Linked DNA regions of Stegostoma tigrinum. The protein of the gene in region 4 binds, or shares a complex with, the protein of the main gene of each other region. Links are inferred from orthologs where the notes say so. Each region holds a gene or a part of one and is shown on either strand. Other genes may lie near its edges. The genes, in order: lsm3, smx5, lsm4 and txnl4a.

Region 1 (7,865 bases), on a different chromosome or scaffold from region 4:
GGTAGTGGTAGTAAGTTGCCTTCTTAAATCTCTCCACGCACTGTTGGTACACTCGCAACACCATTATGAAGGGAGATCCCGAGATATTGAATCAGTGACAGTGAAGGAACAGCAAAAAATTTCAAATCAGGAAGGTGAGTGGCTTGGAGGGAAACTTACAGGAGTGGTGTTCCCACATATCTGCTGCCCTTGTCCTTAAGAGGTGATCGGTTTGAAAGATTACGTTTAATATCTTCAATGAATACCTGCAATGCATCTTGTAGAAAGTACACACTGTTGCGTCAGTGGTGGATGGAGTGCCAATCAAGTGGTATGCTTTGATGGTGTTGAGCTTCTCGAGTGTTGTTTGAACTGCACTCATCCGAACAAGTGGGGAGTATTCCAACACACTCCAAACAGTACAGTACATGGTAGATCTTGCAGATAGTGGACAGGCTTTTAGAAGTCAGGAGGCGAGTTACTCACTGCCATATTCCTCGCCTCTGACCTGCCTTATAGCCAATGTATTCATATATATTTTCTTATCAACCTGAGATGGCATTACACACCTCTGGAGCAGGTGGTACTTGAACCCAGTGCCAGAGGTACAGACAGTACCAATGTGCCACAACTGTATTAATTTTGCAAATCTAATGGAGTTTCCGGTAATGGTAATCCCCAGACTGTTTATAATAGAGAATTCAGCGATGCCTCATGATGTTTGGGGGCTTTGGCAATGTTTAGATTCTCTTTTATAGGAGATGGTCATTGCCTTGCGTTTGTGTGGTGCGAATGTTACTTGCCACTTTTCAGTTCAAGCCTGGATACTATCTAGGCCTTACTGCATTTGTGTCATAATATGCCGAACAAGTTGGTTAAAAAATCTGCAAACTCTTTTCTACCTGCCAACTCTGTCCTTGTGCTAGTATTTTACTATCTACGCCATGAGCTCTCCTTTTCTGTGGAACTTTATCAAACTGCCTTCTGGATATCCAAGTCTAGTACATCGATGAGCCCCACTTCATCCACAGCTTGTTAATTCCTAAAACCTTCGATAGATTTGTTAAACATGATTTCCATTTTAAAAAACCAAGCTTGCTCTTTCCAATTATCTTGAGCTTTTCTAAACGCCCAGTTATAACCTCCTTAATGATCAACTCGTAACACCTTCCATGAAAGAACACGAAGCCGAGTTTCCTGTCTCCCTCCTTTCTGGGATAGAGGGGTTAATATTTGCTATTTTCCAATTTAATGGAACCTTTTCAGAATCAAGTGAATTTCAGAAAATTGAAAGCAATACATCCACTAACTTCGTTACCAATGTTTTAAGATTCTAGGGTAAAGTCCATATGAACCCAGGATCTTGAGTGCTCATAGCTCTATCAAACTGCTCAATGCCTTGCATGTAACAGCCTTGCCTGCCATATCGCAACACCCAATTCCCCAAATGTATGCCAGCCTTGTTCCCCCCTGTCTTTCACCTACCTCTATCCCATCAATACTGTCCTCAGACAATGGGCAGGACTCACACTCTGTCTCCCTTCCCCTGCTCTCTCTCCTACTTCCTGTTCCCTACAATTACTGTATCTCACCTACTCTCACCCCATCCCCACCTCACTCTCCTGAGCCCTTTCACCTCCTATATCTCCTCACCCTCCTTGATCTCTTCCTAATCGCCCTTCTCACCCCACACGTTGTTTCCCCCCCCAACCACTTCGCTGACCTCTCCCCTTCCTATTTTGTCCCCCCATTCCACCCACACCTCCCCCTACACGCTCTCTCCCCTGCCCTTCTCTCTCAATCACAATCCACTACCTAACACCCTTGTCCCCAAACCCTCTCTACTGGCTCTTGTCTCCCACAATCTCCCCAGCCATTTCCCTTTCTACCCCTATTTCCCCTTCCCTTGTCCTCCCGCATTCTCGCTCTTTCCCACTCTCTCCTCTCCCAACACTCTCTCTCTCCACTCTGTCCTCTCTCCCTCCCACACTCTCACTCACCCCTTCTCTCTACCCCCCTACTCATTTCCATGTTACAAAACCAAGGTTGCTCTTTCCAATTATCTTGAGCTGTTCTAAATGCCCACCTCCCCCACACTCCCCCCCCCCTCACCCACTCCCTCCCCCACTCCCCCCCCACCCCCACTCACCCACTCCACCCCCCCTCACACCCCCCCTCACCCACTCCACTCCCCCCCCTCACACCCCCCCTCACCCACTCCACTCCCCCCCCTCACACCCCCCCTCACCCACTCCACTCCCCCCCCTCACACCCCCCCTCACCCACTCCACTCCCCCCCCTCACACCCCCCCTCACCCACTCCACTCCCCCCCCTCACCCACTCCACTCCCCCCCCTCACCCACTCCACTCCCCCCCCTCACACCCCCCCTCACCCACTCCACTCCCCCCCCTCACACCCCCCCTCACCCACTCCACTCCCTCCCCTCACACCCCCCCTCACCCACTCCACTCCCCCCCCTCACACCCCCCCTCACCCACTCCACTCCCCCCCCTCACACCCCCCCTCACCCACTCCCCCCCCTCACACCCCCCCTCACTCTCCCTCCCCCTCCTCACACCCCCCCTCACTCTCCCTCCCCCTCCTCACACCCCCCCTCACTCTCCCTCCCCCTCCTCTCCCCCCACACTCTCCCCCCCCCTCACCCACTCCTCCCCCCCCTCACCCACTCCTCCCCCCCCTCACCCACTCCTCCCCCCCCTCACCCACTCCCCCCCTCACTCCCCCTCCTCTCCCCCCCCACTCTCCCTCCCCCCTCCCCACACTCTCCCTCCCCACACTCTCCCTCCCCACACTCTCCCTCCCCCCTCCCCACACTCTCCCTCCCCCCTCCTCTCCCTTTCACTCTCTCATTTATTCACACTCACACCCTCCCTCTCTTTTCGCCCCTTCCTGCCTTCCTTCTTCCTCCTCCTCCTACTACTTACTCACTCCTTCTTTCTTTCTTTTCTCTCACTCATTCACATTCCCCATCCCGGGTTTTTTTTACCTGGTCTCCCTCCTCCGCCATGGTTTGAATCCGGGTGACTGCAACCTGCGCATGCGTGCTGACCGCGTTGTGGTAGCGGCGGGGAGCGGGTCCTCCCGCTGCCGCGCCCCGCAGCGGCCGGGAGGAGGAGGAGGAGCGGGTGACTGGCGCGTGCGCGGTGCGGCGGGAAGGTGAGAGTGGGGATCAGTGCCCAGCTCTGGGCACATCTCTCCGCCTCCTTTTCTAACCTCCCCCCGCCCCCTTCTTCCGGGGGAAGCTGCTGTTGTATAACCCTGTTTTATAACAGGCGGCTGGAGAGCATCTGAGATTGACTGCACCTTTCCTCAAGTTACAGGAGGCGCGAACATGGCCAAAAGGAAAGGGTCAAAAACCCAAAGCTCAACCCAGGCTACCTGCAAAAGATTGAAGAAGGACTGCAGCAGAACTAAACCTGTCAGAGAGGGCCCAGTGAAGTGTGCAAAGCAGCTGCCTCCTGGTAACTATGCCTCAAGTTGCTTTTCCTCTTCATGCAGTGACTAATTTACAAACACTTTTAACCAAATGCAATGCAATCAGCCTCTGCCATCGTTCAGACCTTTACCATCCACCGCAGGAGTCATGATCATCAAGAACAAAACCAAAAGAGCTGCAGGTGCTGAGCTTTTCCAGCAGCTGAAAGCAGAAGTTGCTGGAAGAGCTCAGCAGGCCTGGCAGCGCCCGTGAAGGAGAAAGCAGAGTTTAGGGTCCGCTGACCCTTCCTCAGAACTGGAGGCCTCATAATCGTTAGCTGTGGTTGCTTTGGCACCTCTTGATTAGATGAGATTCCCTACAGCGTGGAAACAGGCCCTTCGGCCCAACGAGTCCACACCTCCTGAGAAAGGGGCTATATTTATACAGCACTTTTCATGGCCTCAAGGTGGTAGGAGATTGAAATTGCTGGTGAAACTCAGCAGGTCTGTCAGCATCTGTGCAGAGAAAGCAGAGTTAACGTTTCAAGTCCAGTGATCCTTCTTCAGAACACGGACTCCAAATGTTAACTCTGCCTCCTCTCCACACATGCTGCCAGACCCCCTACATTTCTCCAGCAATTCCTGTTGTTTCAGATTTTCAGCAAATGCCATTCTTTGTTTTATCATAGTAGAAGATTGAATTGGTGTAGAAAATTATGGCCCAGAGATAATGTTTTTTTTAAATCATTCAAATATAGACAGAGGTAGTAATGTTCCAAAGGATAGAAAGAGGGGGATAATGGTTCTTGATCCATGTTCAAGTCCCACCTGTCCTGGAGGATGCCATTACATCTCCAGGCAGTTTGATTACAAACAACAAGAGATCTATTTGGAGACTATGGTAACAAACTGAAGCTGGATGAACACAGCAGGCCAAGCAGCATCTTAGGAGCACAAAAGCTGATGTTTTGGGCCTAGACCTTTGGAGGCTATCTTTGATTCATTATAGTCACGTACCTAATTACAGTGAAATGTTTTGTTTTGCATGTGGTACAGGCAGATCATAGCAAACAAAGATATAAAAATCACAAGCTGCTTAGACAGAGCGAGAGCCTTTTTCCTAGGGTGATGACAGCGAGCACGAGGGGGCATAGCTTTAAATTGAGGGGTCAAAGATATAGGACAGATGTCACAGGTAGTTTCTTTACTCAGAGAGTAGTAAGGGAATGGAATGCTTTGCCTGAAACGGTAGTAGATTCGCCAACTTTAAGTACATTTAAGTCGTCATTGGACAAGCATATGGATGTACATGGAATAGTGTAGGTTAGATGGGCTTGAGATCGGTATGACAGGTCGGCACAACATCGAGGGCCGAAGGGCCTGTACTGTGCTGTAATGTTCTATGTTCTATGAGGCACAGGAGGTCACAGCCACATTAGAAGGTGCACAAAAGCAACACCAACATTATTGGAGGCTTGAGAGGTCCACTCAGCAGTCTGATAACATCAGGGAAGAAGCTGTTCTTGAACCTGTTGGTGTGTGCTTTCAACTTCAGTATTTTCTGCCTGACAGGGGAGTTTGGAAGAGAGCATTACCCTTTTCCATGGCAATGACAAGAGTAAGTGGAGCCCATGGCTACAATGTGTGACTGACAAGTACAAATCTGAACAACACTTTTAGAAGCTTAGAAAGGGGGAAGATGTTCTGTTTCAAAGTGTGGAGCTGGATGAACACAGCAGGCCCAGCAGCATCTCAGGAGCACAAAAGTTGACGTTTCGGGCCTAGACCCTTCATCAGAAAAGCTTTTGTGCTCCTGAGATGCTGCTGGGCCTGCTGTGTTCATCCAGCCTCACATTTTATTATCTTGGATTCTCCAGCATCTGCAGTTCCCATTATCTCAGATGTTCTGTATCAGTCTGATTTCAGACCAAAGGAGAAGGCATTGATGGATTCAATTCTGGGGAATGAGGTGCATCTAATTTTATTGAAGGAGGGCTTTGTAAAATTCATTTTTGGGATGTGATTGTTGCTGGCTAGACCAGCATTTATTACCCATTGTAAATGCCCTTGTGATTGTGGTGATGAGCTACCTTCTAGAACCGTTGTAGCCCACGTGCTGTAGGTAGAGTCTCGATGCTTAATTGGGATGGAATTCCTTGGATTTTGACTCAGTGACTCTGGCGGAGCAGCAATATTTTCTAAGTCTGATGATAAGTGGTTTGGAGGGGAAATTGCTGGTGGAGATGCAGCATTTAGGGGACAGTGATTGTCGTATCGTCAGTTTTTACGTGGCCCAGGCGCTCTGGAGGCTCAGCGTTGGCACGGACTTGGTGGAAAAACTATAATTCAAGTACGTTTTTGAAAAAAACCTTATTTACTCTTTCATGTAAATGAACTGACATTTTATTATTCTTTCAGGTCTGTAACACGTACTTATGTAACTGTACCTAGGTTCCTCTAACATAAGGTGGTGCCAAAGTGGTGACAATACAAAGTTTTCACTTCACTCAGTCACATGCCCGTGACAATAAAACCAATTCAATTCAATTTATGTCAGCGACAGAGTAGAGATAGTTAATTGGTAACTCTCTTTACTCTGTCACTGGCATAAATACATTCAGCCTAAAATAAAGAAGTTTTTGTAAAAAGTACTGGAATCATAGTCTGTTTACCAAGTCCATGCCAACATTGAGCCTCCAGAGAGACCAGACCGTGTAAAAACTAATGATACGACAATCAGTGACCCCTAAATGCTGCATCTCCAAGTTGGACACAGCCTTAAAATTAGGTGGGGTAAATTTAAAACTGAAACGAGATGACATTTCTTCAGCCAGAGTGTGGTGGGCTTGTGGAATTCATTGCCGCAGAGTGCAGTGGAGGCCGGGACGTTGGATGCCTTCAAGGCAGAGATTGACAAATTCTTGATCTCAGAAGGAATCAAGGGCTACGGGGAGAGTGCAGTGAAGTGGAGTTGAAATGCCCATCAGCCATGATTTAAATGGCGGAGTGGACTTGATGGGCCGAACGGCCTTACTTCCACTCCTATGTCTTATGGTCTAAGTTCCCTCCAAGCCACTCATCATCAAGACTTAGAAGCATATCACTGCTCCTCCAGTATCACTGAGTCAAAATCCTGGAATTCTGTCCCACATAAGCATTGAGCGCCTACTACAGCACACGAGCTACAACAGTTTCAGAAGGTAGCTCATCACCACAATCTCAAGGGCATTTAGGACGGCCGATTAAATGCTGGTCAAGCCAGCGACGGCCACATCCCATAAATGAATTTTACAGAGTCCTCCTTTCATAAAATTTCAGTGAGTTGGGAAAGGATCTAGCTCAGGTAAATTGGAATTGAAGGTTGGCAGGCAAAACAGTTGTGGAAGAACTGCCTTTAAAGAAAACATCAGCTTTTGTGCTCCTGAGATGCTGCTTGGCCTGCTGTGTTCATCCAGCTCCACACTTTGTTATCTCAGCTTTAGTACAGTCAAGGTTATATTCTCAGGAGGGGGAGAGGTAGAATAACCAGTCCAGTGTTTCCTGGATGTTATATCTGAGCTGGAACAGAAAAGGAACATGTGATTTATATCAGAATGATGATACAAGTAAGAAACAGGTTTAATATAAAAAGTTCACAGGCGAGGTAAAAAAGGAGGCTGATAGCTAATATAAAAGGGAATCTAAAAGTTTTACATAAATTTATAAATACTGACAGGATGGTACATGGAGGAATGGGGCCAGTTATGGACCAAAATAAAATTTACACATGGAAGCAAGAGCATGGTGGAGATATTAAATGAATATTTTACATTTGTCATTACTGAGGAAGCAGATGCTGTACAAGTCAAAGTGAAAGAGGAGGGAGTTGAGATTCAGAAAGAAACAGTGCGTGCTGGAGAAACTCCCCAGATCTGGTAGTGTTTGTTGAGAGAGAAATGTAAGTAATGTTTTTCCAAAGAAGAGTCATACTGGACTCAACGTTAAATTTGTTTATCTTTATACAGATGCTGCCAGACCTGTTGAGTTTTTCCAGCAATTTCTGTGTTTGTTTCAGATTTCCAGCATTTGCAGTATTTCGCTTAAAGTGGAGATTCTGTATGGACTAAAAATTGAGAAAGGTGAGCTACTAGAAGGACTGAGTCTACTTAAAATTCTTTGGACACTGAGACCCAATCAGATGTGCTTAAGACGACTGAGAAAGTAAGGATGGAAATTGCAAAAGCACTGGGCATAGTTTTCCAATCTTTGGTAGACGTGGGGTAACACCGGAAGACTGGAAAATTACAAACATTACACACATCTTCAAAACCTTAAGCTCAGGTACAGTAGGTCAGCCGGTGGTGGGAAATCTGTACAGAAATAATAATCCAGGACAAAATCAACAATTCTTGGACAAATGTGGTTGAACTAAAGAAAGCCAGCTTGGATTTTAAAGTAAATGTTGTTTAT
Region 2 (8,215 bases), on a different chromosome or scaffold from region 4:
TATTGAGTTCTTTGAGGAAGTCACGAGACAGGTTGATGAGGGTCGAGCAGTGGACGTGGTGTACATGGACTTCAGCAAGGCATTTGATAAGGTTCCCCACGGCAGGCTCATTCATAAAGTCAGGAGGTATGGGATACAGGGTGATTTGGCTGACAGGAGGCAGGGAGTGGTTGTAGATGGTAAGTATTCTGCCTGGAGGTCAGTGCTGAATGGTGTCCCGCAGAGCTCTGTTCTTGGGCTTCTGCTCTTTGTACTTTTTATAAATGACTTGGATGAGGAGGTTGAGGGGTGGGTTAGTATGTTTGCTGATGACAAAGGTTGGAGGTGCCGTTGATAGTATCGAGGGCTATTGCTAGCTTCAGTGAGACATTGACAGAACGCAGAGCTGGGCTGAGAAATGGCAGATGGAGTTCAACCTGGATAAATGCGAAGTGATGCATTTTGGAAGGTCGAACTTAAATGCTGAATTTAGGATTAAAGGCAGGATTCTCGGCAGTGTGGAGGAACAGCGGGATCTTGGTGTTCAAGTGCATAGCTCCCTCAAAGTTGCCACCCAAGTGGATAAGGTTGTTAAGAAAGCATATGGTGTTTTGGCTTTCATTAACAAGGGGATCGAGTTTAAGAGCCACGAGGTTATGCTGCAGCTCTACAGAACCCTGGTGAGACCACACTTGGAATATTGTGTCCAGTTCTGGTTGCCCTATTATAGGAAAGATGTGGAGGCTTTGGAGAGGGTGCAAAGGAGGTTTACCAGGATGCTGCCTGGACTGGAGGGCTTGTCATGAGGAGAGGTTGACTGAGCTTGGACTTTTCTCTCTGGAGAGAAGGAGGAAGAGAGGTGACCTGATCGAGGTGTACAAGGTAATGAGAGGCATGGATAGAGTCGATAGCCAGAGACTTTTCCCCAGGGCAGGATTGAATGCCACGAGGGGTCATAGTTTTAAGGTGTTAGGAGGAAGGTACAGAGGAGACGTCAGAGGGAGGTTCTTCACCCAGAGAGCTGTGAGCGCATGGAATACTTTACCAGTGGTAGTCGTGGAAGCAGAATCATTAGTGACATTTAAGTGACTGCTGGACATGCACATGGACAGCAGTGAATTGAGGGGAATGTAGGTTAGGTTATTTTATTTTTGGATTAAGATTATTCCACGGCACAACATCGTGGGCTGAAGGGCCTGTACTGTGCTGTACTTTTCTATGTTCTATGGCAAAGCTCAACAACTTCCTGCGCTTGACTGAGTCAAATGGTTATGACATTAAGTTGCTTTTTAAAAATTCTTTAAATGGAATGTGGGAATGACCAGCACAGCCACCACCCTTCTCCTTTACCCAATCTCTCTCTTCGCGCTCTCTCTTGCCTCCTTACTATCTCTCTCCCTCCCCTCCCCCTTTCCTCTGTGTCTCTCCTTCCCTCCCCCAATCTGTGAAACTCTCCACTCTTCCTTCCATCCTTCTCTCCTACTCACCCAATGAGACACACACAGTCTCTCTCTCTCTCTCTCTCTCTCTCCCCCCCCTCCCCCTCTCACCCCCCACCCCTCACCATCACTATAGGGCTCTGTCTAGAACACAGAACATAGAACACTACAGCGCAGTACAGGCCCTTCGGCCCTCAATGTCACGCCAACCTGTGAAACCAAACTGAAGCCCATCTAACCTACACTATTCCATTATTATCCATATGCTTATCCAATGACCATTTAAATGCCCTTAAACTTAGGCAAGTCTACAACTGTTGCAGGCAGGGCATTCCACGCTCTTACTACTCTGAGTAAAGAACCTACCTCTATATCTGTCCTATATCTATTACCCCTCAATTTAAAGCTATGTCCCCTCATGTTAGCCATCACTATCTGAGGAAAAAGGCTCTCACTGTCTACCCTATCTAATCCTCTGATCATCTCGTATGTCTCTATTAGGTTACCTCTTAACCTTCTTCTGTCTAATGAAAACAGCGTCAAGTCTCTCAGCCTTTCCTCATAAGGCCTTCCCTCCATACCAGGCAACATCCTGGTAAATATCCTCTGCACCCTTTCCAACGCTTCCACATCCTTCCTATAATGCAGCGACTAGGACTGTAAGCAATACTCCACGTGCAGCCGCAGAGTTTTGTACACGTGCAACATGACCTCATGGCTCCGAAACTCAATCCCTCTACCAATAAAACTTAACACACCGTACACCTTCTTAACAACCCTATCAACCTGGGTGGCAACTTTCAGGGATCGATGTACATGGACACAAGGATCTCTCTGCTCATCCACACTACCAAGAATCTTACTATTAGCCCAGTACTCTGGATTCCTGTTGCTCCTTCCAAAGTGAATCACCTCACACTTTTTCATATTAAACTCCATTTGCCACCTCTCAGCTCATCTCTGCAGCTTATCTAATGTCCCTCTGTAACCCACCACATCCTTCCACACTCTCCATAACTCCACCGACTTTAGTGTCATCTGCAAATTTACTAACCCATCCTTCTATGCTCTCATCCAGGTCATTTATAAAAATTACAAACAGCAGTGGCCCCAAAACAGATCCTTGCGGTACACCACTAGTAACTAGTCTCCAGGATGAACACTTCCCATCAACTACCACCCTCTGTCTTCTTTCAACTAGCCAACTTCTGATCCAAACCGCTAAATCACCCTCAATCACATGCCTCCGCATTTTATGCAATAGCCTACCGTAGGGTCTTTCAACCTGCTTCTCTACTCCGTCCCCCGGTCTGGTCTCTGTGAGACAGTCACTCACACTCTATCTCCGTCCCTATCCCTCCACTTCCTACCTCCTCACTCACTCACTCTTGCCCCCCGGCCTGGTCCCTGTCCCTGTGAGACTCTCTCCCTCAACCCCCCCGGCCCGGTCCCTGTAAGACTCTCCCTCACCACCCCACCCCGGGCCCGGTCCCTGTGAGACTCTCTCTCCCCCCCGGGCCCGGTCCCTGTGAGACTCTCTCTCCCTCCCCGGGCCCGGTCCCTGTGAGACTCTCTCTCCCTCCCCGGGCCCGGTCCCTGTGAGACTCTCTCTCCCCCCCGGGCCCGGTCTCTCTCAGACCCTCTCTCACTCACCATGGCACCGACAATGACGGCAGCTCCCAGTCAAACCGGTTCAAACCCGCGGCGCCTGCGCGCGGACGGACCGCCCGATATCGCGAGAATTCCGCCGATCCCTGCCCACTGTGTCACCTGTGTTCCCGCCTTTTCGTTTGATTGACGTGCTACCAGCCTGCCAAGCGGCTGGAAGTATTCATCCGGCTGCACATTGGGCTTAAGGCGAGAGGGGAAAGATTTAAAAGGGATTCGAGGGGCTACGTTCCCGCGCAGAGGGTGGTGTACATGTTGTTTGAGCTGCTGGAGGCGAATACAGTTACAATGACAACATTTAGAAGACGTTTGGACGGGTACGTGGTTAGGAGGGATATTGTCCAAGTGCAGGTAGGTAGAGTTCAGTTTAGGAAACCTGGTCGCCCTGTAATTGGCCAAAGGGTCGGTTTCCATGCTGCATGAGTTTGACTCAAAAGTTCTGTGAACACTTGAGAGAAATACACCAGCAGGGATGCTGGGATAGACCAGAGTAACAAGATTGATAAGGCTGCTGTACTAGAGCTAACGTGGATTAAATGGATGGAATGGCCACCTCCTGTCCTTTCATGACTCAATGAGTGAAACAAAGCTAATCATTCAGGCTGATGACTCTTCATCCAGTACTGGATAAAGCTAGAGATGCAACAACTTTGCTGCAAGTACAGGGGCAGAGCAAGAGGAGATTAGAGGAAAGAACAAGAGAGAATGCCTGTGAGATGGTTGAAGAGATGAAATGCACCTTCCCTGTGAGGCTGAATGCAAACTGAAGATTAGGCAACTTACCTTTTCATTGTAACGCAGTGTGGAGCTGGAGGAACACAGCAGGCCAGGCAGCATCAGAGGAGTAGGAAAGTTGATTTTTTTTAGGGTAAGGATGCTTCTTCAGAATTTCTGGATTTCTGAAGAAGGGTCCTGACCTGAAACATCAACTTTCCTACTCCTTTACTGCCTCTGACACCAGCATTGACTGTTCTTACTATCTCATCTTTCAATAAGGCAGTTTGTAAGATCACACAGAAATTTCTGATCATAGCTTTTGACTCCATTTTGTAACTTTAAAAATCTTTTTTTAAATGCCATTTGATGCTGATTTATATCCTTTCACCACACACCTTTGGCATTTTCACACCTAATTGTCACCCCAATTTTAGCGTACCCCATGTACCATCATCCTTTTCTTCATTTGATTTCTGCTGCCTTCCAGCCTATCATAAACCTTCCATCTTGTCGTCATCTTCTACTCTCACTCTTCCTCGTCATCGTCAATCCCACATCTGTTTATCTTGCACTGGGGTGGAATGTACTGCCAGGTGTGGTGGTGGTGAAGGCAGATACAATAGAGGCAATAGGATTTTTAGATAAGCCCATGAATATGCAAGGAATGGTGGGATATTTTTCAAGGGCAGGAAGGGATTAGTTTCATTTGGTGTCCTTTTTGGCACAACATAGTGGGCTGAAGGGCCCATTCCTGTGCTGTGCAGTTCTGTGTTCATGCCTGACCAGGATTTCATTCAGAATACTGCTGAAGTGATACATTTCCTGGAAAGTACAGTGAGACAGGTCACGGCATCATATGTGACTCAGTTGTCAAGGGAAAGAAGAAGACAGGATGTGTGATAGTGGTGGAAGCGTCTTAGTTCAGAGAATAGAATGTTTTCTTTCACCCACAGATGTTACTCCAGGATGTCAGAGTGCCTTTCTTTTGTAAGGATGCAGGATGTCACTAGGCAGTTGCAAACATGGTGAAATGGGGGTTGATCAGCTGGAGATCATAGTTCATATAGGTACCAACAACAGACGTAAATGAGGATTCAGATTCAGCAGGCATGTTTTAGGGAGATAAAGGAGAGTTTATTAAGCAGGAAGTCAACATCAGTATTCAGTAATGAGGCCCAATCCTCATCATGAAAAAGGGTGACGTGAGAGCAAAGTTGCAAGGCTTACCCATTAAGATGCAGGAGTAAAATTACACCATTTGACCCATCAAGGTGCTCCATCATTCAATTCAATCATGGTTGATCTGATAAGCCTCAACTACTTATCTACCTTTCTCCCATAACCCTTCTTTCCCTTACTGACTAAATCCTGTCTATCTCAGCCTTGAGGGAGGCCAGGGAAAAAATTGCTAAAGCATTGAAGGACATCTTTGGGCACAGTTGAGGTCGCAGGGGACTGAAGAATAGCCAATGTTGTGCCATTATTTAAGAAAGGTAACAGGGATAATCCTGGAAATTACAGGCTATGAGTCTTACATCAGTGGTAGGGAAATTAGTGGAAAAGTCTCAGAGCCAAAATATAAATGCGTTTTGAAGCAAATGGACTTATTAACGATAGACAGCATGGTTTTGCAGGGAGGTCGTGCTTCACTAACTTGATCAAGTGTTTTTAGGAGGTGATAAAGATGATTGATGGGGAAAGAGCGTTTGATGTTGTCCGTGTGGATTTCAGTAAAGCCTTTGACAAGGTCCCTTGTGGCAGATTGGTACAAAAGGTGAAGTCAGATAGTATCAGGGTGGGCTGGCAAGGTGGATGCAGAACTGCCTCAATCATAGGAGACAGAAGGAAACGGTGGAGGGATGCTTTTTGGAATGGAGGATTGTGACTAGTGGTGTTCAACGATCAGTTCTGAGTCCTCTGCTAGTTGTGGTCTATGCAAATAGCTGATCCAATTAATAACTTTGCAGACAATACAAAGATTGGTGGAGTTGTGGATAGTGAGAAGGATCATCAGAGGATACGTCAGGATATAAATCATTTGGAGGCATGGGCAGAAAAATTTTATCTGGGCAAAATGTGAGGCGATGCTCTTTGGAAGGTCAAATACAGGTAGAAATTATACAATGAACGGCAGAACCTTTAGGTTCAGGAATTGGTATGCAGAGGGATCTGGGTGTGCACATCAACAGATCACTGAAGGTGGCAGGGCAGGTAGCTAAGGTAATAATAAAGGCCTTTGGCATGTTTGCCTTCATTGGAAAGGGCATTAAGTACAAAGATGGGCAAGTTATGTTGCAGCTTTATTGAACTTTAAAGACCACACTTGGAGTATTGTGTACATTTATGTTCACCACGCCACCGGAAGGATATGGATGCTTTGGAAAAGGTACCGAAAAGATTTACCAGGATGTTGCCTGATATGGGGGATTTTAGCAATGAACAACAATTTGATAGATTAAGATTGTTTTCACTGGAATGCAGGCGGTTGGATGGTGACCTGATAGAAGCTTATAAGATTGTGAATGGCAGGGGTAGAGTGGAAAGTGTGGGCCTTGTTCCCAGGGTGGAGGGGGTCAATTACTAGGGACACAGGTTCAAGGGGCGATGGGGGAAGTTTAAAAGAGACGTGCAAACCAACTTTTTCACACAAAGGGTGTTGAGTTCCTGGAACATGTCGCCAGAGGAGTTGTTGGAAGCAGATACAATCGCAGCATTCAAGAAACACCTGGACAGATTCATGAATGGGAAGAAAATAAAGGGATATAGATCCTGTAAGTGAAGACGTCTTTAGTGAGGAAGGGCAAAATGTGTTGGCACAGGCTTAGAGGGCCAAAGGGCCTGCTCCTGTGCTGTATTGTTCTTTGAATACATTTAATGATACAGCCTTGACAACTTTCTACAGCAAAGAATTCCACAGATACACTTACACTTACTTTATAATAATAATATGGGACATATTATTAACTTGGATAAGTTAGGGAAAATCAGCATGATCTTGTTAATGGTGAAATGTCAATTAATCTGTTTCTTTTTAAATAAGGTCAGAAAGTGGGTTGATGAGGGTGTTACTGTGGATGTGGTGTTCATAAACTTCCAGACAGCATTTGACAAAGGGACAAATAGCAAGATTACATGCCAAGTTGCAACCCATAAACTAAAAGGGACAATGGCAGCATGGACAGGAAACACAGCATATTAGTGAACAAGATAATAAAATGTGAGGCTGGATGAACACAGCAGGCCAAGCAGCATCTCAGGAGCACAAAAGCTGACGTTTCGGGCCTAGACCCTTCATCAGAGAGGGGGATGGGGGGAGGGAACTGGAATAAATAGGGAGAGAGGGGGAGGCGGACCGAAGATGGAGAGTAAAGAAGATAGGTGGAGAGAGTGTAGGTGGGGAGGTAGGGAGGGGATAGGTCAGTCCAGGGAAGACGGACAGGTCAAGGAGGTGGGATGAGGTTAGTAGGTAGATGGGGGTGCGGCTTGGGGTGGGAGGAAGGGATGGGTGAGAGGAAGAACCGGTTAGGGAGGCAGAGACAGGTTGGACTGGTTTTGGGATGTAGTGGGTGGGGGGGAAGAGCTGGGCTGGTTGTGTGGTGCAGTGGGGGGAGGGGATGAACTGGGCTGGTTTAGGGCTGCAGTGGGGGAAGGGGAGATTTTGAAACTGGTGAAGTCCACATTGATACCATATGGCTGCAGGGTTCCCAGGCGGAATATGAGTTGCTGTTCCTGCAACCTTCGGGTGGCATCATTGTGGCAGTGCAGGAGGCCCATGATGGACATGTCATCAAGAGAATGGGAGGGGGAGTGGAAATGGTTTGCGACTGGGAGGTGCAGTTGTTTGTTGCGAACCGAGCGGAGGTGTTCTGCAAAGCGGTCCCCAAGCCTCCGCTTGGTTTCCCCAATGTAGAGGAAGCCACACCGGGTACAGTGGATGCAGTATACCACATTGGCAGATGTGCAGGTGAACCTCTGCTTAATGTGGAATGTCAAACAACTGCACCTCCCAGTCGCAAACCATTTCCACTCCCCCTCCCATTCTCTTGATGACATGTCCATCATGGGCCTCCTGCACTGCCACAATGATGCCACCCGAAGGTTGCAGGAACAGCAACTCATATTCCGCCTGGGAACCCTGCAGCCATATGGTATCAATGTGGACTTCACCAGTTTCAAAATCTCCCCTTCCCCCACTGCATCCCTAAACCAGCCCAGTTCATCCCCTCCCCCCACTGCACCACACAACCAGCCCAGCTCTTCCCCCCCCCCCACCCACTACATCCCAAAACCAGTCCAACCTGTCTCTGCCTTCCTAACCGGTTCTTCCTCTCACCCATCCCTTCCTCCCACCCCAAGCCGCACCCCCAGCTACCTACTAACCTCATCCCACCTCCTTGACCTGTCCGTCTTCC
Region 3 (7,178 bases), on a different chromosome or scaffold from region 4:
ACGTTCACCAGTAACTATTGTAGGGCGGTTGTTGGTTTGTAGGCTACTCTGATACCTAGCGGTCTGAGTATTCTTGTGGTCATCTCTGAAATGTCCTTGATCTATGGAAAAACGCGAAGTATAATACAAGCACCTATACAGTGCCTTCAAAAGAAATGGATATCCGAAAAGCATAATCCGCCATTACCTCTGGTACAGGCCTCAGCAGGAAGACACAACATCACCACAATCACTTATACTGTATCATATACCACAAGGAACAATATATTTTAGCTTCCTTCCTTCCACCTCACGATTACTCTACTAAAACTTCATAACACCCCTTTCAGGAATCCTCCTCCTTTACTGGTTAAGTACCTTTGCTGAAAGCCAGGAACTATCTTCTCAGATGTCTGCCATTGTTCTTCAAACACCTTTGCTGCTAAACTTCTTTCCCAAACCACTCCAGCCAACTCTGTCCTCATTCTAATATAATTACCCCCAAGTTCAGTACAGTCATTTCTGATACAAATTTCTCGCACCCAAACTGAATGCTTTACGATCACTGTTCCTGGAGGTATCTTTTATTGTGGGCTAATTTATTAATGCTGCCTCAACTCACATTACCAGATCCGAAGAAGCCTGATCCCCGCTAGCTTCTAAGAAGAAGTGGATTCAATTTCAAATACATCATGAAGTTTTTTTGTCACTTTGCCAACTTGATTCTCCCAATCTACATGAACATTAAAGTCACTGATGATTAAATGTACTGCCTCATTATCTGACAATTGGTGAACAGAAAAAATCTCAGGATGGGAGGCTGTTGTTACTGGGGTACTGTGCTAAGACCACACTGTTCATAGTCTGTACAAGTAATTTGGATGTAATATTTCCAAATTTGCTCGTTACACCAAATTAGGTGGAAATGCAAACAGGCTTCGTGAGGACTTGGACAGGCTATGTGCACAGGGTGGAACGTGTCAGCTGGAACATAATGTCAATAATTTAAGCTATTCACTTTGGTAGACAAAAGTCAAGGCAGAATATTTCTTAACTTTGAGAAGTGTAAACATTTAAGGGGACTGTTCAAAGGCCCTTGTCTGGGAGGCACTAAAAACATGTATGAAACCTGTCCAAAGGCGACAATTAGCCAAATATAGAATACTGGGACAGACTCCACAGCATACACTTGTCCCCTTGTTCAGTTATATTAAAGCTGAGAAGTAGCACTCAGGCAGAGACTGGGGGTTTAAGGCATTTCAGTATAAAAATTACTTGCCATGATTGCTAACTTACTCTTTAAAAATAACACAAGTTGTCAAACACTCAGGTGGAAAAAAACGACTGCTGGCTGAGGGAGCGACAAGTGTAGGCTTGAATCACTGAGGAGCTCAAACAGTCCATGTGCCAAAGTGGGAGCCCTGCCTGGACCAATCATGGAGCAAAATGCAGGCATTCTCTCAGCCTCTCTTACCATTGGATGATTCTGTGCCGTCTTAAGTAATGAAAGGGGCAGCTGAAATAAAGAAGAAAAACATTTGATTAAATCTGAGAAGAAAGTTTAATTTGTCAAAACAATTACTGCTAATGTGGATAACATCCCCACTATAAATCAGAACGTAAGAGTTACAACTAAATATAAAAACTAAAAACAAAAGCTCTTTTAAAATGGGTGGGGAAGTACAGCTACAATCAGCACGACCCTTGCCTCCAGGATTAAAGCTGGAAAGGGATAGAATTAGGACTGACTGTACAGGTCTCAGAGTGGGAAATCCATCAACAGCGCTCAGATTACAAAAGCAGCAGCACATGGGTTCCCTCCTTTCACCCCACACCAAAGGGAGGCTGGGAGTCAGGGATATTCTTCACATTCTCACATTCCTGCCCAATTGCCCCTTTCCCTCATTCCCCGACAATGTCCTGGTATATCGGTATAATTAAGACCCACACAGCACACCACCCCACCAAGCTCAACATCAACATCTTCTCTCCTCTCACCTGCTCTCCCGACTGATTCATTCTCTCCTCCCTCACCAACCATCCTTCTCCACCGCGCCCCCCCCCATATGTCTCTATAACGACACGTTCAATCATTTTTCCCCACAACCCCCGTTAGAGTCACAGAGATACATAGCACAGAAACAGGAGGCTTGGGGACCACTTTGCAGAACACCTCCGCTCGGTTCACACTAAACACCTGCACTTCCCAGTCGCAAACCATTTCCACTCCCCCTCCCATTCTCTAGATGACATGTCCATCATGGACCTCCTGCAGTGCCACAATGATTCCACCCGAAGGTTGCAGGAACAGCAACTCATATTCCGCCTGGGAACCCTGCAGCCTAATGGTATCAATGTGGACTTCACCAGTTTCAAAATCTCCCCTTCCCCCACTGCATCCCAAAGCCAGCCCAGTTCGTCCCCTCCCCCCACTGCACCACACAACCAGCCCAGCTCTTCCCCCCACCCACTGCATCCCAAAACCAGTCCAACCTGTCTCTGCCTCCCTAACCGGTTCTTCCTCTCACCCATCCCTTCCTCCCACCCCAAGCCGCACCCCCAGCTACCTACTAACCTCATCCCACCTCCTTGACCTGTCCGTCCCTCCGTGGACTGACCTATCCCCTCCCTACCTCCCCACCTACACTCACCTTTACTTGCTCCATCCCCACCTCTTTGACCTGTCTGCCTCCTTTGCACCTATCTTCTCCCCCATCCATCTTCTATCCGCCTCCCTCTCTCCCTATTTATTTCTGAATCCCCTTCCCCTCCCCCATTTCTGAAGAAGGGTCTCAGCCCGAAACGTCAACTTTCCTGCTCCTCTGATGCTACTTGGCCTGCTGTGTTCCTCCAGCTCCACACCTTGTTATCTCTTACCTTCGATCAAACTTGCCTATCGCTGACCAGATATCCTAAATTAATCTAGTCCCATTTGGCCCATTATCTACTAAACCCTTCCTATTCATGTACCCATCCAGATGCCTTTTAAATGTTATGGCTGTACCAGCCTCCTCCACTTCCTCAGACCCCACTCAGTGTGAAAAAGCTGACATTCGAGACCTTTAAACCTTTCACCTTAAACCCCCCGGAGAAACACCTTGGCTATTCTCTGTTACACATGACTCTCACGGGTTTATAAGCCTCCATAAGGTCACCCCTCAGCGTCCAATGCTGCAGCCTGTTCAGGCTCAGCCTGCGGCCCTCACCCTCACCATTCTGTCTCCGTCTCTGGTTCCCGCTCCTCCCGCCGCGGCTGCGACAACCCAACTTACGGCTCCGGCCTAGCCCCGCCCCGCCAGCCTGATGGACGGGTTGTCTTCCCCAATCAGCAGCCGCGGCCACAGACACAGCCAATCAGAGATGGCAGCGACCAGAGGTGGCGCCCCGTACTGAGGTTGCTGTCGCAATAGTTGGCGTAAAGTGGGGCCTTCGTAGGAGGAACAGCCCAGCACTTGGCGCCGAATCCCGTCCCCACCTCACACCCCCCATCCCGCCTCCCCTCCCCCCGCGGGCTCCATCTGCCGCCGTCCCCCTCCAACCAGCTCCCTCTTTCCCACACCCGCCCCTCCCCCCTTGCCCCCCCCCGCCCCTCCCCCCTTGCCCCCCCCGCCCCTCCCCCCTTGCCCCCCCGCCCCTCCCCCCCTTGCCCCCCCCGCCCCTCCCCCCCTTGCCCCCCCCGCCCCTCCCCCCTTGCCCCCCCCGCCCCTCCCCCCTTGCCCCCCCCGCCCCTCCCCCCTTGCCCCCCCCCGCCCCTCCCCCCTTGCCCCCCCCCGCCCCTCCCCCCCTTCTCTCCCCTCCCTCCCCCCCTTCTCTCCCCTCCCTCCCCCCCTTCTCTCCCCTCCCTCCCCCCCTTCTCTCCCTCCCCTCCCCCCTTCTCTCCCCTCCCCCCTTCTCTCCCCTCCCCCCTTCTCTCCCCTCCCCCCTTCTCTCCCCTCCCCCCCCGCTCTCCCCTCCCCCCCACTCTCCGCTCCCCCCTTCCCCCCCCGCGCCGCTCCCCTCTGCCGCCGCTCCCCTCTGCCTCCGCTCCCCACTCCCCTCTCCCCCTGCTCCCCTCTCCCCCCGCTCACCTCCTGTTCCCCTTCCCCCAGCTCCCGGCTCCCCCCCCTGCCCCCCCCTGCCCCCCCCCGCTTCCCCTCGCTCCCCCCGCTCCACTCTCCCCACTCCCCCTGCTCCCACTGCTCTCCCCCCCCGCCCCCCCCGCTCCCCTCTTCCCCCCCCCCGCTCCCCTCTCCCCCCCCCGCTCCCCTCTCCCCCCCCGCTCCCCTCTCCCCCCCCCGCTCCCCCTCCCCGTTCCCCTCGCTCCCCCCTCCCCACCCCGGCTCCTCTCCCCCCGTTCCCCTCCTGCTTCCCTCCCCTCCCCTGCCCCCTCCCCCCGCTCCACCTCACCCTGCCCCCTGCTCCACCTCCCCCCGCAACCCTCTTTCCCCCCCGCACCCCTCTTCCCCCCCCGCACCCCTCTTCCCCCCCGCACCCCTCCCCCCCCCCGCAACCCTCTTTCCCCCCCGCAACCCTCTTTCCCCCCTGCACCCCTCTTCCCCCCCCGCACCCCTCTTCCCCCCGTTCCCCTCTTCACCCCCCCGCACCCCTCTTCACCCCCCCGCACCCCTCTTCGCCCCCCCGCATCCCTCTTCCCCCCCCGCACCCCTCTTCCCCCCCCCGCACCCCTCTTCCCCCCCCCGCACCCCTCTTCCCCCCCGCACCCCTCTCCCCCCCCGCACCCCTCTTCCCCCCCCGCACCCCTCTTCCCCCCCCGCACCCCTCTTCCCCCCCCCCGCACCCCTCTCCCCCCCCCCGCACCCCTGTCCACCCCCCCGCACCCCCCTCCCCCCCCCGCACCCCCCTCCCCCCCCCCGCACCCCCCTCCCCCCCCCCGCACCCCCCTCCCCCCCGGTCCCCTCCTCCCTGCTTCCCCCCCCCCCGGCTAAAACCTAACTGACTAAAGATTTCGTCTGTGTATGTATACTGATATGGAAATATATAATATGTACATATTATAAACCCTCTGAACTGATTGAAGATTTAGCAGCATGCGGTTTGTCTAATAGATCCTGAACAGTGGTGTGATCTTTGATCTCTTATAAATTCTGTGTTTGATGCTACCTCTTTCACTAACGTCTGAAGGACTGAGGCTCAAATAAACCTGTTGCACCAGAACCTGCTGCTGTGTGATTTCTGACATAATCCCATCGCTGTTTGTTTAACCTGTGAGCTCTGGAAATGCTTCCCTGTCTCTTGACCACTCTCCCACGTTAAATTACTCTTTAAATGCTGGCCCAGCCCTTGTTTTGTGTTTGAGTTAAAAGGAACTCTGACCAAAAGCTGTAGGTCATCCGGCCTTAAAATATTTCTACATATGATAGTATAATTTTTTGTTTTTAAAAATCACTCACAGGATGAGGGCAACCTTGGAAGGGCAGCATTTATTGCCCATCCCTGTTTGCCCAGAGTCAACCACATTGCTCTGGGTCCAAGGCCACACATAAGCCAGACCAGGAAAGGATGACAGTTTCTTTCCTTAAAAGGCATTACCGAGCCAGGTGGGTTTTTGCCCAAGAATTGGCAACGGTTTCATAGTCATCAGTCGGCCCTTAATTTAAGACTTTTTAAAAATGCATTTTAAATTTCACCATGGGATTTGATCCTGGATTCTCAGAGCATTCAGTTTCTGCATGAATAGTCTAGTGCTAATACCACAAGGCCATCATTTTCCCAACACTGCTCCTGTAAATTTAAGTGCCTTGAAGTGTTTCATGTGATTAAACATACTAAATACAACTTGTTGGTAGTCTTTAATTCCCAAACACACGTTAGTAAAACAGAATTAGCTTTCCTGCTCCTCTGATGCTGCTTGGCCTGCTGTGTTCATCCAGCTTCACACTGTGTTATCTCAGATTCTCCAGCATCGACAGTTCCTTCTATATCTATGTTGTATTAATGCTTTCTTCCTGTCCCAAAGGCACTTGCTAGAGGTGGTACCTTCCAGGATTGTTTGCTCAGGGCAGGTGCCAATGAAACCTTAGGGAGCATTGCACAAGCTTTTCTCCACATTCTTACTCAATGACAACTTGCAATTATATCACACTTTCAGGTGTAGTAAAAAGTCCTGGAGCACCAACTGTAGAAACTCAGAACAAATAGAGGCCATTCAGCCCATCATAGCACTTCCAGGTCTTTGAGGAGCTGTCCAGATTGTTCAAGGCCTCACAGCCTTGCAAATATTTAATTTTCTGACCAGAGATAACGGGAACTGCAGATGCTGGAGAATCCAGGTTAACAAAGTGTGGAGCTGGATGAACACAGCAGGCCAAGCAGCATCTCAGGAGCACAAAAGCTGATGTTTCGGGCCTAGACCCTTCATCAGAAAAGGGTGATGAAGGATCTAGGCCTGAAACGTCAGCTTTTATGCTCCTCAGATGCTGCTTGGCCTGCTGTGTTCATCCAGCTCCACACTTTGTTATCTTTAATTTTCAGGTATTTATTTGTACTGTGACAAACATTACGTTGGAGTCTGTTTACACTAGCTTTTTAAAAGCACATTCCATGTTGCAACTGTAACGAAAATAATGTTCTCATCTTCCCCTCTGATTCTTTTGCCAATTACTTTGAATGTGACCCTTTGGTTGCCTAACCTCCTGCACTGGAAACAACTTCTCCTTATTTATTCCATCAAAACCCAATATGAACATCTCTATTTAATCTCCTTGAGCTTTTCTGCTTCTCTACTCCACAAACGAAAGTCCCTCATTCTGAGGACCATTTTGTTTCTCTTCATTTACGGGATATGGGTGTCGCTGGTTGGCCAGCATGTCTTGCCCATTCCTAGGTGGCCTTGAACTGCTGCAGTCCTCCTGCTGTAGGTTGACCCATAATGCTCTCAGGGATGGACTTCTAGCTCTGCAGAGCTTAGATCTGATCCGTTGGTTGTGGGATTGCTTAGGTCCATCCATCACTTGCTGCTTTCACTGTTTGGCATGCAAGTAGCCCTGTTTGGTGGCTTCACCAGGTCGATACCTCATCTTCAGGTATGCCTGCTGCTGCTCCTGGCCTGTCCTCCTGCACCCTCCATTGAGCCAGGGTTGATCCCTGGCCTGTTGGTAATGGTTGACTGGGGATATGCCGGGCCATGAGGTTACAGATTGTGCTGGAGTGCAATTCCTTTGTTGTTGATGGCTCACAGCACCTCATGGTTGCCCAATTCT
Region 4 (8,295 bases):
TGACTTCAAGGCCATATTAACAAAGTGTGGCATCAAGGAGCCCTAGCAAAAGTTGAATTAGTAGGTATCTGGGGGCAAGTTGTCTGCTGGTTGGAGTCAAAACAGGCACATAGGAAAATGTTTATGGCTCCAGGACATCTCTGCAGGATTTGCTCAGAGTAGTGTCCTCGGTCTGACCATCTTTAGCTGCTTCAACAATGACCTTCGCTCCATCATAAAGTCTGAAACAGGGATGTTCGCCAATGATTGCACCATGCTCAGCGCCATTTGCAACTTCTCAGATATTGAAACAAACTATGTTCAAATGCATCAAGATCTGGACAATATCCAGGCTGGGGCTAACAAGTGGCTAGTAGTATTCAACACCACAGAAATGCCAGGCAATGACCATCTCCAATAAGAGATGTTATTACATCACTGAATCCCCCACAATCAACATCCCGGGGGTTACCACTGAACACAAACTCAACTGGACTTGCGCATGAAGACAGTGGCTACAACAGCATCAGAGACTAGGAATACTGTGATGAGTAACTCACCTCCTGACTTCCTAAAACTTATCCATCAACTAAAAGGCACAAGTCAGGAGTGTGACAGAAAACTCCTGACTTGCCTGGATGGGTGCAGCTGCAACATTTTATCATTCAGGATAAAGCAGCCCACTTGATCAGCACATCAACATATATCCATTCTCTCCACCGACACTTAGTGGCAGCATGTACTATCAACAAGATGCACTGTGGAAATTCACTAAAGATCCACAGACAGCACCTTCCAAACTCACAACCACTTCCTTCTAGAAGGACGAAGGCAGCAGAAAAATGGGAACACTACGCTCTGCAAAATTTCCCTTCAAGCCACTCACCATCCTGATGAGAAAATATATTGCTGTTCCTTCAGTCTCTAGGCCAAAATACTGGAATTCCCTCCCTAAGGGCATTGTGCATCAACCTACAGCACATAGACTGTAACAGTTCAAGAAGGCATCTTAACACCACCTTTTCAAGGGAAACTAGGGATGGGCAATAAATGCTGCCTGAATAGCAATGCCCATATCCCACAAATGAATAGAAGAAATTTATATAGTTCTAACATTGTATTTAACCGAATACAACTTTACCTAACGCTGGGTGCACTTGCTGATGTTTATGAAGGCTTACCTTTTCAGCAATACTATACAAGACCTCATCCATCTTCATACAAGTTGGATCCCAATCATGACCAAAGCGAATGACAACGACACGATCCTCCTCTGACAGGATGGCCTGGTCTACTTGCCAGCCATTGTGGAGATGTGGCAGCATATACGACATTGCGGCAAAGAGTTGCACTATTTCTACTACCCCTTTATATGACAAAACCAAAAAAATGAGTTAAACCACTTCTAGACTAGAAAGAAAAATGTTAGTCTTATGAATAAAAGCTCTGTGCTCACAGAAATAGTACAGTTCTTAAGACTCGGGCAGACTGACGTAAATAAATAATAGCTTGGGCCTTTGGAGGTTTTAAAAAACAGAATCATGACGGTTGTAAAGCAATTAACAACCTGTATTTTGATTGTTTTTGACCCTGTAAAACTTCCCATAAATATGACAAAATAAAGTCTGCCACCAAGCCACATAAAGAGGGATTTTAGTACTTAGGCCCAAAACCTTGTTCAAAGGGCAAGTTTCAAAGCAAGTCTTAAAGTAGGAAGGGAGGTGTGTGGAAGAGTGACTGAGAGGTTTAAGAAAGGCGTTCCAGAGCTTAGGGCCTTGGCAGCCAAAGGCACAGTCACAAGCTGTTGGAGGAGTCAATGTTGGGATGCTCAAGACACCTGAAGAAAGGAGTACAGCAATCATTTATGTCGGGGTGAGGGAGCCTCTGAAGGATTGGAAATACATGTTCATTTATAACTCATAACCTACATAATACTTATAGAATATAACCTCCTTACTGTTCCGTGCTATATGTTAATCAAATTGGTTAGAATCGCTATGAAGTCTGCATTTTACAAAACGTAACATTGTCGTTGAAAACACATGTTCCAATTCCAAGGAATGAAACAGCAACAATCCACTTTTAAGTTTTCAAACAGTAACCAACTGATTCTCTATCATATTGCATATTCTTTGGTCATATTTCTGCAGAGGCTACAAGTTACAAAATACAGAAATCTCCACGAATTAAGTTTGGGCGATTCCTCAGCACTCATTCCTGTCACCTGGCAAACTTTCATGGCTTTCGATCATGTTTCTGAGGGGCTGCTTACAGTGTCTGATATCAATGAAACTGGAGTGGGCTGGACAGTTGAGATGGATGTAAACACCAAAGTTGATTAAAAATGATCTTTGTTTTGTGGTGACAATCAGCAATGTCCCTCTTGAGAAGGGCAAGTGGTCACTTTTATTTTGATTTAATTGGGGAGGATGGAGGGGGAAGAGAAATGGTGTCATTTCTCTTACTCTAAAAGCCCACCTTCAGGGGTTATTATAGGGCCCTAACCTCTGGGCCTGGAGGACCGGATAGAATTCCCCTGGCCCTGTGCCACAAGGCGTGCGATGACACCTCTGAACGGGTTAATTAGAAAGTTAAATGAGTTAGAAGGCCTCCAGCGATCCAGGAGTGACAGTGAAGTTTACAAAGTGCCCTGAATCAACTCAGTAACCATGGCGGGTAATTGCCTCTTCCTTTACCAGGAAAAAAGACAGGCGGACAGCGGAGGTGAAAGAAACTCTTAAACAACCAACCCCCTGAGAGCTAACTGATGGTGTTTAATAGTAACCCCGGTGTGTATCTGAATGACTGAGAGTTATGTGGGGGGGAATAGTCAGAGACAGTAAACCTGCCTCATCTGTATCGCTGGAAATACTCGACTGAACAGGAGCGAGTGTGTTTGTGTGTATTAGGCGGGCTCACCTCAGACACCAATCCCCGGGAATGACACCGAGCAAGGGCGCCTCACCCCGGCCCCAGCTCCGGCTGCAGGGCCTCTGACAACCAAGATGGCGACCGCCGGTAAGGGGACGGGCCGCATGCGCGGGATCACTGGGCCAATGGGGAAAGCCTCGCGATGTTTCCCCGTGTCCCTCTGCCGGTGAAGTGACAGGTTGCATTGTGGCGGACCTTGTAGCAATGTACTGGCAATTTGTCACCACTGGAGGGCAGCCAAGTGCAAGGGATGCAACAGCGCGTTTGTACACGGCAAGCCCACTGCCCCGTCATAATGTCCAGACGATTTGTCTTTTGTAATATGAGCTCAGGGAATAAATATTGTTTGGGATATGGGAGATAACACTTCTTTCAAATAATGGCACCGAATCCTTTACATCCAAGCAAGAGTTGATGTTTCAACTAAATGATGGCGTCTCAGACAGTGCAGCACTGCCTCAGTATTGCATATGTCAGTGTAGGGATTTGGAAAGATGTTCAAACACTCAGATTCAGAGGTAATGATGCTGGAAGGCTGATGGCAACATTGATAGAGTCCATGCTGACTAGATATCCTATATAAATCTAGTCCCATTTGCAAGCGTTTGGCCCATATCCTTCTAAACTCTCTAGGCCCAAAATGTTAGGTTTTGTGCTCCGAAGATGCTGCTTGGCCTGCTGTGTTCGTCCAGCTCCACACTTTGTTATCTCCTTCTAAACTCTTTCTATTCATGAAGTCATCCAGAGGCATTTTAAATGTGATCATTGCACCCACCTCCACCACTTCCTCTGGCAGCTCATTGCTGACACACACCACCCTCTGCATGAAAAAGTTGCCCGTTAGGTTTCTTTTAAATCCTTTCCCTCTCACCTTAAACCTATGCCCTCTAGTTTTGGGCATTGTTGACAAAGTAGCTGAATATGATTGTCATAGATTGGATTCCCTTTAATCGGCAAATATTTTTAGATACCTTGCTGAAAAATAAAATTTGAAGCAGTTTTTTTCAAGCTGAGTGATATACGATGACCGGTTAAAATGCTAATGGGTCCTTCATTTCATCATTTTCACTTACACAGCTGGATGCCAGACTTGTATGTGTTTTTGTGAAACAATAATGGATTTGTGGTGGTAATCATCTATGTCCTGGGACAAAATAACTTCACTAAATTGCAATCAGAATTCTTTCCATGGTTCTCATGAAAATCAAAATTCCTCTGAATGTGATTTATTCAGTTGTGCAATGACTTTACATATAACTTTGAATGCTGGGAAACTGGTTCATCTACTATGACTATGTGCTACTATCCATCCTACCTCATTCCAGTTCATCACCAAGTAAGAAAACACAGTAGAACTTGTTCCTATTTTAAAGTGCTTAGCTTTAATTCAAATTTGCAGACCCCAATGGAAGATGTTGTAGATTGTAACTCATCTCACGTTGGTACTAATAGCAACAATCCTTTTAATTTGAGGGCATGATTCATCCAGAACAAGAAATTAGAGTTTGGGTTAGGGTTAGAGAAATTCATAGGGACTGCTGTTTTTCTTATTCAAAAGGAAATTCTGCTGAGCATGATAAATTTGCCCATCTGCAGTGGCCCAAGGTTCAAAGAAAAATATGCTTGCTCATAATTTAGTTTACTCCATTTTGTTAGAGTGCAGTCTGCTAATGTGTGGCACAGATCTGGCATGGTTAGGATCAGTTTCCTCTTGATTGTACAGGAAACATGGTATCAGGAGGAGATTATTCACCCTCAGGAACCTAATCCATCATTAAATGACTTTGTGATTGATCCGTACATTCTTATCCTTAAGTTCTCCATACAAAAGCAGATCTGACCACAGCACAGCAATCTCTCACCCACCTCCTCCCTCCCCAGGCAGAGCAAGAAAGCAGGTTGTGAAGCCACCCCACCCAAAATGGGAATTGACCCCGATTTTATTCTAATTTATATATTAACTCCATTTACATAACCCTTTGTACCCTCTTCTAAGAAAAGCCTGTCAAATTTGGTTTAAAAATTTTTAATTGATCTACTTTAGGAGAGGCTTTGTGACCAGCCATATAAATACCAACTAGGTGAGAGGCTGAGAATTCTGTGGCACGTAACTCACCTCTTGAATCCTCAAAGCCTCCCAGCCATCTACAACGCACAAGTCAGCAGCATGCTGAAATACTCCCCACTTGCCTGGTTGGTTGCAGGTCCAACAGCATTTCAAGAGCCTCAGCACTATCCAAAGCAATGTGAACTGTTAAATTGAGTTCTGGATTTTTACTGGCACTCCTCTTTGAGGTCAGTCATGGGTGCCCTTGCTTTGCCATTCCTAGATCAACGATCATCTGGCTCAGTGTCTGCACAGAGGTAATTATGCCAAGGTGGAAAAGCTAACTTTTTTGCACGTGTATGGTGGAGGGTGATTAACAATAAGCTGAAGATAAAAGCGACAAACCAGTTTGAGATGAATGAGGAGGACTAAGATATTCACATTCACAGATTAGGGCCATTTCTGTGCTGTGATCAGGAGAAATCTAATTTGAGAGCCAAAACTACAGATTTGTCGGAAAATAGGCACATATTTGGGAGGTTCAAGAAATTTGGAGATAGGCAGAGAGATTGGTGATAGTGTGGCTTCCAAGGACAGTAAAGTAGTTTTTTTTTAGGATGGATATGATTTTGACAGTTTTAAAATGGAGGGCAATTGTATCCACAAAAAGAGGACTATTTATATTAGGAGATAACATTGGCATTATGAGGGGAGGTTAGATCGCAATTGATCAGAATGGAGTCAAGAATGCTTAGGGCTTAACCACACAGAGAAACACATATCCACCATTCATTGCCATTTTCATTTTATTTAACTCCCTATGTTTATTATCACCCATATATATTTCAGCTTTCCCACAGCCTGAGTATCTCAGTTCAGCTTTTTGCCCTTTTATCCCATCTAATTTGGAACCCACGTTCCATTTACACTTTTGTATCCGACATTTTTGCCACATTGTCATAAATGCTGTCCTCTTCCTTTTCCTCATCATGGAATCAGAGAATTGTAGGCCACTGAGGAGGCCATTTGGACCTTTCTACTTGTGCTAGTTTCCTGAAAGTCAACCAATACACTCCCTGCTCTTTCATCGTAGCTCTGAAATGTTCTTCTTTTCAAGCACCTAAGTGGTCCTTGCAAAGTTACTACTGATAATAAAATGTGAGGCTGGATGAACACAGCAGGCCAAGCAGCATCTCAGGAGCACAAAAGCTCCTGAGATGCTGCTTGGCCTGCTGTGTTCATCCAGCCTCACATTTTATTATCTTGGAATTCTCCAGCATCTGCAGTTCCCATTATCTCTGATACCAAAGTTACTACTGAATCTGCTTCCACTGTCTGTTCATATCTTTTCCAGATAAACGATTCTTTAAAAAAATCCCTCCTGACAGCACCTGGAATTTTGGTTTAGTAAGAATCCTGATAACAAAATGAAGGTCTCACTGCTCTATCCCTCAATCTGTGAATATTTTTTCGGTTTTAATAATGTTGAGTGCCTTTTATGTATGAACATAGATGAATTTAGCAGTAAATGTCGTGAAATATTTATTGAAAACATTAGATGGCGCTATATACCAAGCTATGAGACCTTTAACAGCGGCACTGTTTCAGTTTCTCATGTATTTATTGTGTTCTATACTTACCTTTTGTAAATAAATCACTGAAATGTTTGAAGGCACGTCTTAGCTGTACCTAATGTGAAGATGCTAATGTTGATGACAATGATAAGCATGAAAACTGAACATTAAAGAGCAGCGCAGCAACTAAGCCCATCTCCGTGGAGAAATGAAACGATTGCATTTGTTTGTGAAACTTCTGTCAGAAGTGGAAACTCGTGTATAGAGCCTGCTCTGGCAGTTTCGCTCATGCAAGTTGAACGTACGGAAGGACACACTTGTTCCTATACGAAGTGCTATTAAGGTTCACCAGACTGATTCCTGGGATGAGAATATACGAGCAGACATTGAGTAAATTAAACATCAATGTAGACTTCAACTGTCCCTCTGGAAGGTATTTGCCAATCTGTCAACTCCGGCTATTGAAGTCTCCTCTAGGCCCCTCTGACTAGCCCTGTGAAATACTTTTTCATAAATGATGTTGCGTCTCATAGAAACAAAGAAACTATGAGCAGGATCCTTAGAGCCGGCACCTCCATTCATTGGGATCATGGCTGATCCTCTGTTTCAATGCTGCTCTCTCCTTCTAACCCTTGGAGCATTTGATTTCTGAAAATATATCTATTTCTTTCTTCAATATATTCAGTGAGTTGGCCTGCATTGTCTTCTGTGATAGCAAATTTCACAGAGTCACTACCCTTGGAGTGTTAAAAAAAACTTTTCCTCACCTCAGTCCTGAATGGTCTAGCCCACATTCTGAGACTGTATCCCTCATTCTGGACTCTCCAATCACAGAGAACATTCTCCCTGCATCTAGTCTGTTAAGCCCTGGTAAAGTATTACATTTATCAAGGAGATCACCTCTCATTGTTCTAAATTCTAGTGACTACAAGCGCAGTTGAACCAATCTAACCGCAAAGGACAGTCCTGCTATCCTCAGTATCAACATAGTGAATCTTTGCTGCACTCTGTCTATGGCAAATACCTTCTTTCTTACATAGGCAGACGAAAACTGAATGCAATACTCCAGGACTGATCTCAGCAAGGCCCTGTTCAATTGCAGTAAGAAAGTCTTACTTCTGCACCCAAATGCTTTCTACATGATACTAGCGCTTGTCAAAAACATCCAACCCATGTTGAGGATAGCAAATGTGGTTCCCCTGTTCAAGAAGGGGAGTAGAGACAACCCTGGTAATTATAGACCAGTGAGCCTTACCTCAGTTGTTGGTAAAGTGTTGGAAAAGGTTATAAGGGATAGGATTTATAATCATCTAGAAAAGAATAAATTGATTAGGGATAGTCAGCATGGTTTTGTGAAGGGAAGGCCATGCCTCACAAACCTTATTGAGTTCTTTGAGAAGGTGACCAAACAGGTAGATGAGAGTAAACCGGTTGATGTGGTGTATATGGATTTCAGCAAGGCGTTCAATAAGGTTCCCCACAATAGGCTATTGTACAAAATGTGGAGGAATGGAATTGTGGGAGATATAGCAGTTTGGATCGGAAATTGGCTTGCTGGAAGAAGACAGAGGGTGGTAGTTGATGGGAAATCTTCATCCTGGAGACCAGTTACTAGTGGTGTACCACAAGGGTCGGTGTTGGGTCCACTGCTGTTTGTCATTTTTATAAATGACCTGGATGAGGGCGTAGAAGGATGGGTTAGTAAATTTGCAGGTGACACTAAGGTCGGTGGAGTTGTGGATAGTGACGAAGGATGCTGTAGGC

Evidence for each region.
Region 1: txnl4a (region 4) and lsm3 share a complex: the UniProt entries of both Homo sapiens proteins name them as parts of the precatalytic spliceosome. The link is inferred for Stegostoma tigrinum from reciprocal best matches to the Homo sapiens genes TXNL4A and LSM3.
Region 2: txnl4a (region 4) and smx5 share a complex: the UniProt entries of both Homo sapiens proteins name them as parts of the precatalytic spliceosome. The link is inferred for Stegostoma tigrinum from reciprocal best matches to the Homo sapiens genes TXNL4A and LSM2.
Region 3: txnl4a (region 4) and lsm4 share a complex: the UniProt entries of both Homo sapiens proteins name them as parts of the precatalytic spliceosome. The link is inferred for Stegostoma tigrinum from reciprocal best matches to the Homo sapiens genes TXNL4A and LSM4.

What each region holds. Positions count from the first base shown.
Region 1 is NC_081364.1:2,888,921-2,896,785, reverse strand, and holds the start of lsm3 (snRNA-associated Sm-like protein LSm3), read right to left. Parts: upstream 3,091-7,865; 5' UTR 3,010-3,090; coding exon 2,989-3,009; intron 1-2,988. UniProt on the Homo sapiens protein: Plays a role in pre-mRNA splicing as component of the U4/U6-U5 tri-snRNP complex that is involved in spliceosome assembly, and as component of the precatalytic spliceosome (spliceosome B complex).
Region 2 is NC_081387.1:26,628,257-26,636,471, reverse strand, and holds the start of smx5 (smx5), read right to left. Parts: upstream 3,174-8,215; 5' UTR 3,075-3,173; coding exon 3,072-3,074; intron 1-3,071. UniProt on the Homo sapiens protein: Plays a role in pre-mRNA splicing as component of the U4/U6-U5 tri-snRNP complex that is involved in spliceosome assembly, and as component of the precatalytic spliceosome (spliceosome B complex).
Region 3 is NC_081383.1:1,023,335-1,030,512, reverse strand, and holds the start of lsm4 (U6 snRNA-associated Sm-like protein LSm4), read right to left. Parts: upstream 3,205-7,178; 5' UTR 3,195-3,204; coding exon of another isoform or gene 3,192-3,194; 5' UTR 3,127-3,191; coding exon 3,109-3,126; exon of another isoform or gene 3,077-3,108; intron 1,496-3,076; coding exon 1,454-1,495; intron 1-1,453. UniProt on the Homo sapiens protein: Plays a role in pre-mRNA splicing as component of the U4/U6-U5 tri-snRNP complex that is involved in spliceosome assembly, and as component of the precatalytic spliceosome (spliceosome B complex).
Region 4 is NC_081358.1:44,278,093-44,286,387, forward strand, and holds the start of txnl4a (thioredoxin-like protein 4A), read right to left. Parts: upstream 3,009-8,295; 5' UTR 2,899-3,008; intron 1,346-2,898; 5' UTR 1,314-1,345; coding exon 1,161-1,313; intron 1-1,160. UniProt on the Homo sapiens protein: Plays a role in pre-mRNA splicing as component of the U5 snRNP and U4/U6-U5 tri-snRNP complexes that are involved in spliceosome assembly, and as component of the precatalytic spliceosome (spliceosome B complex).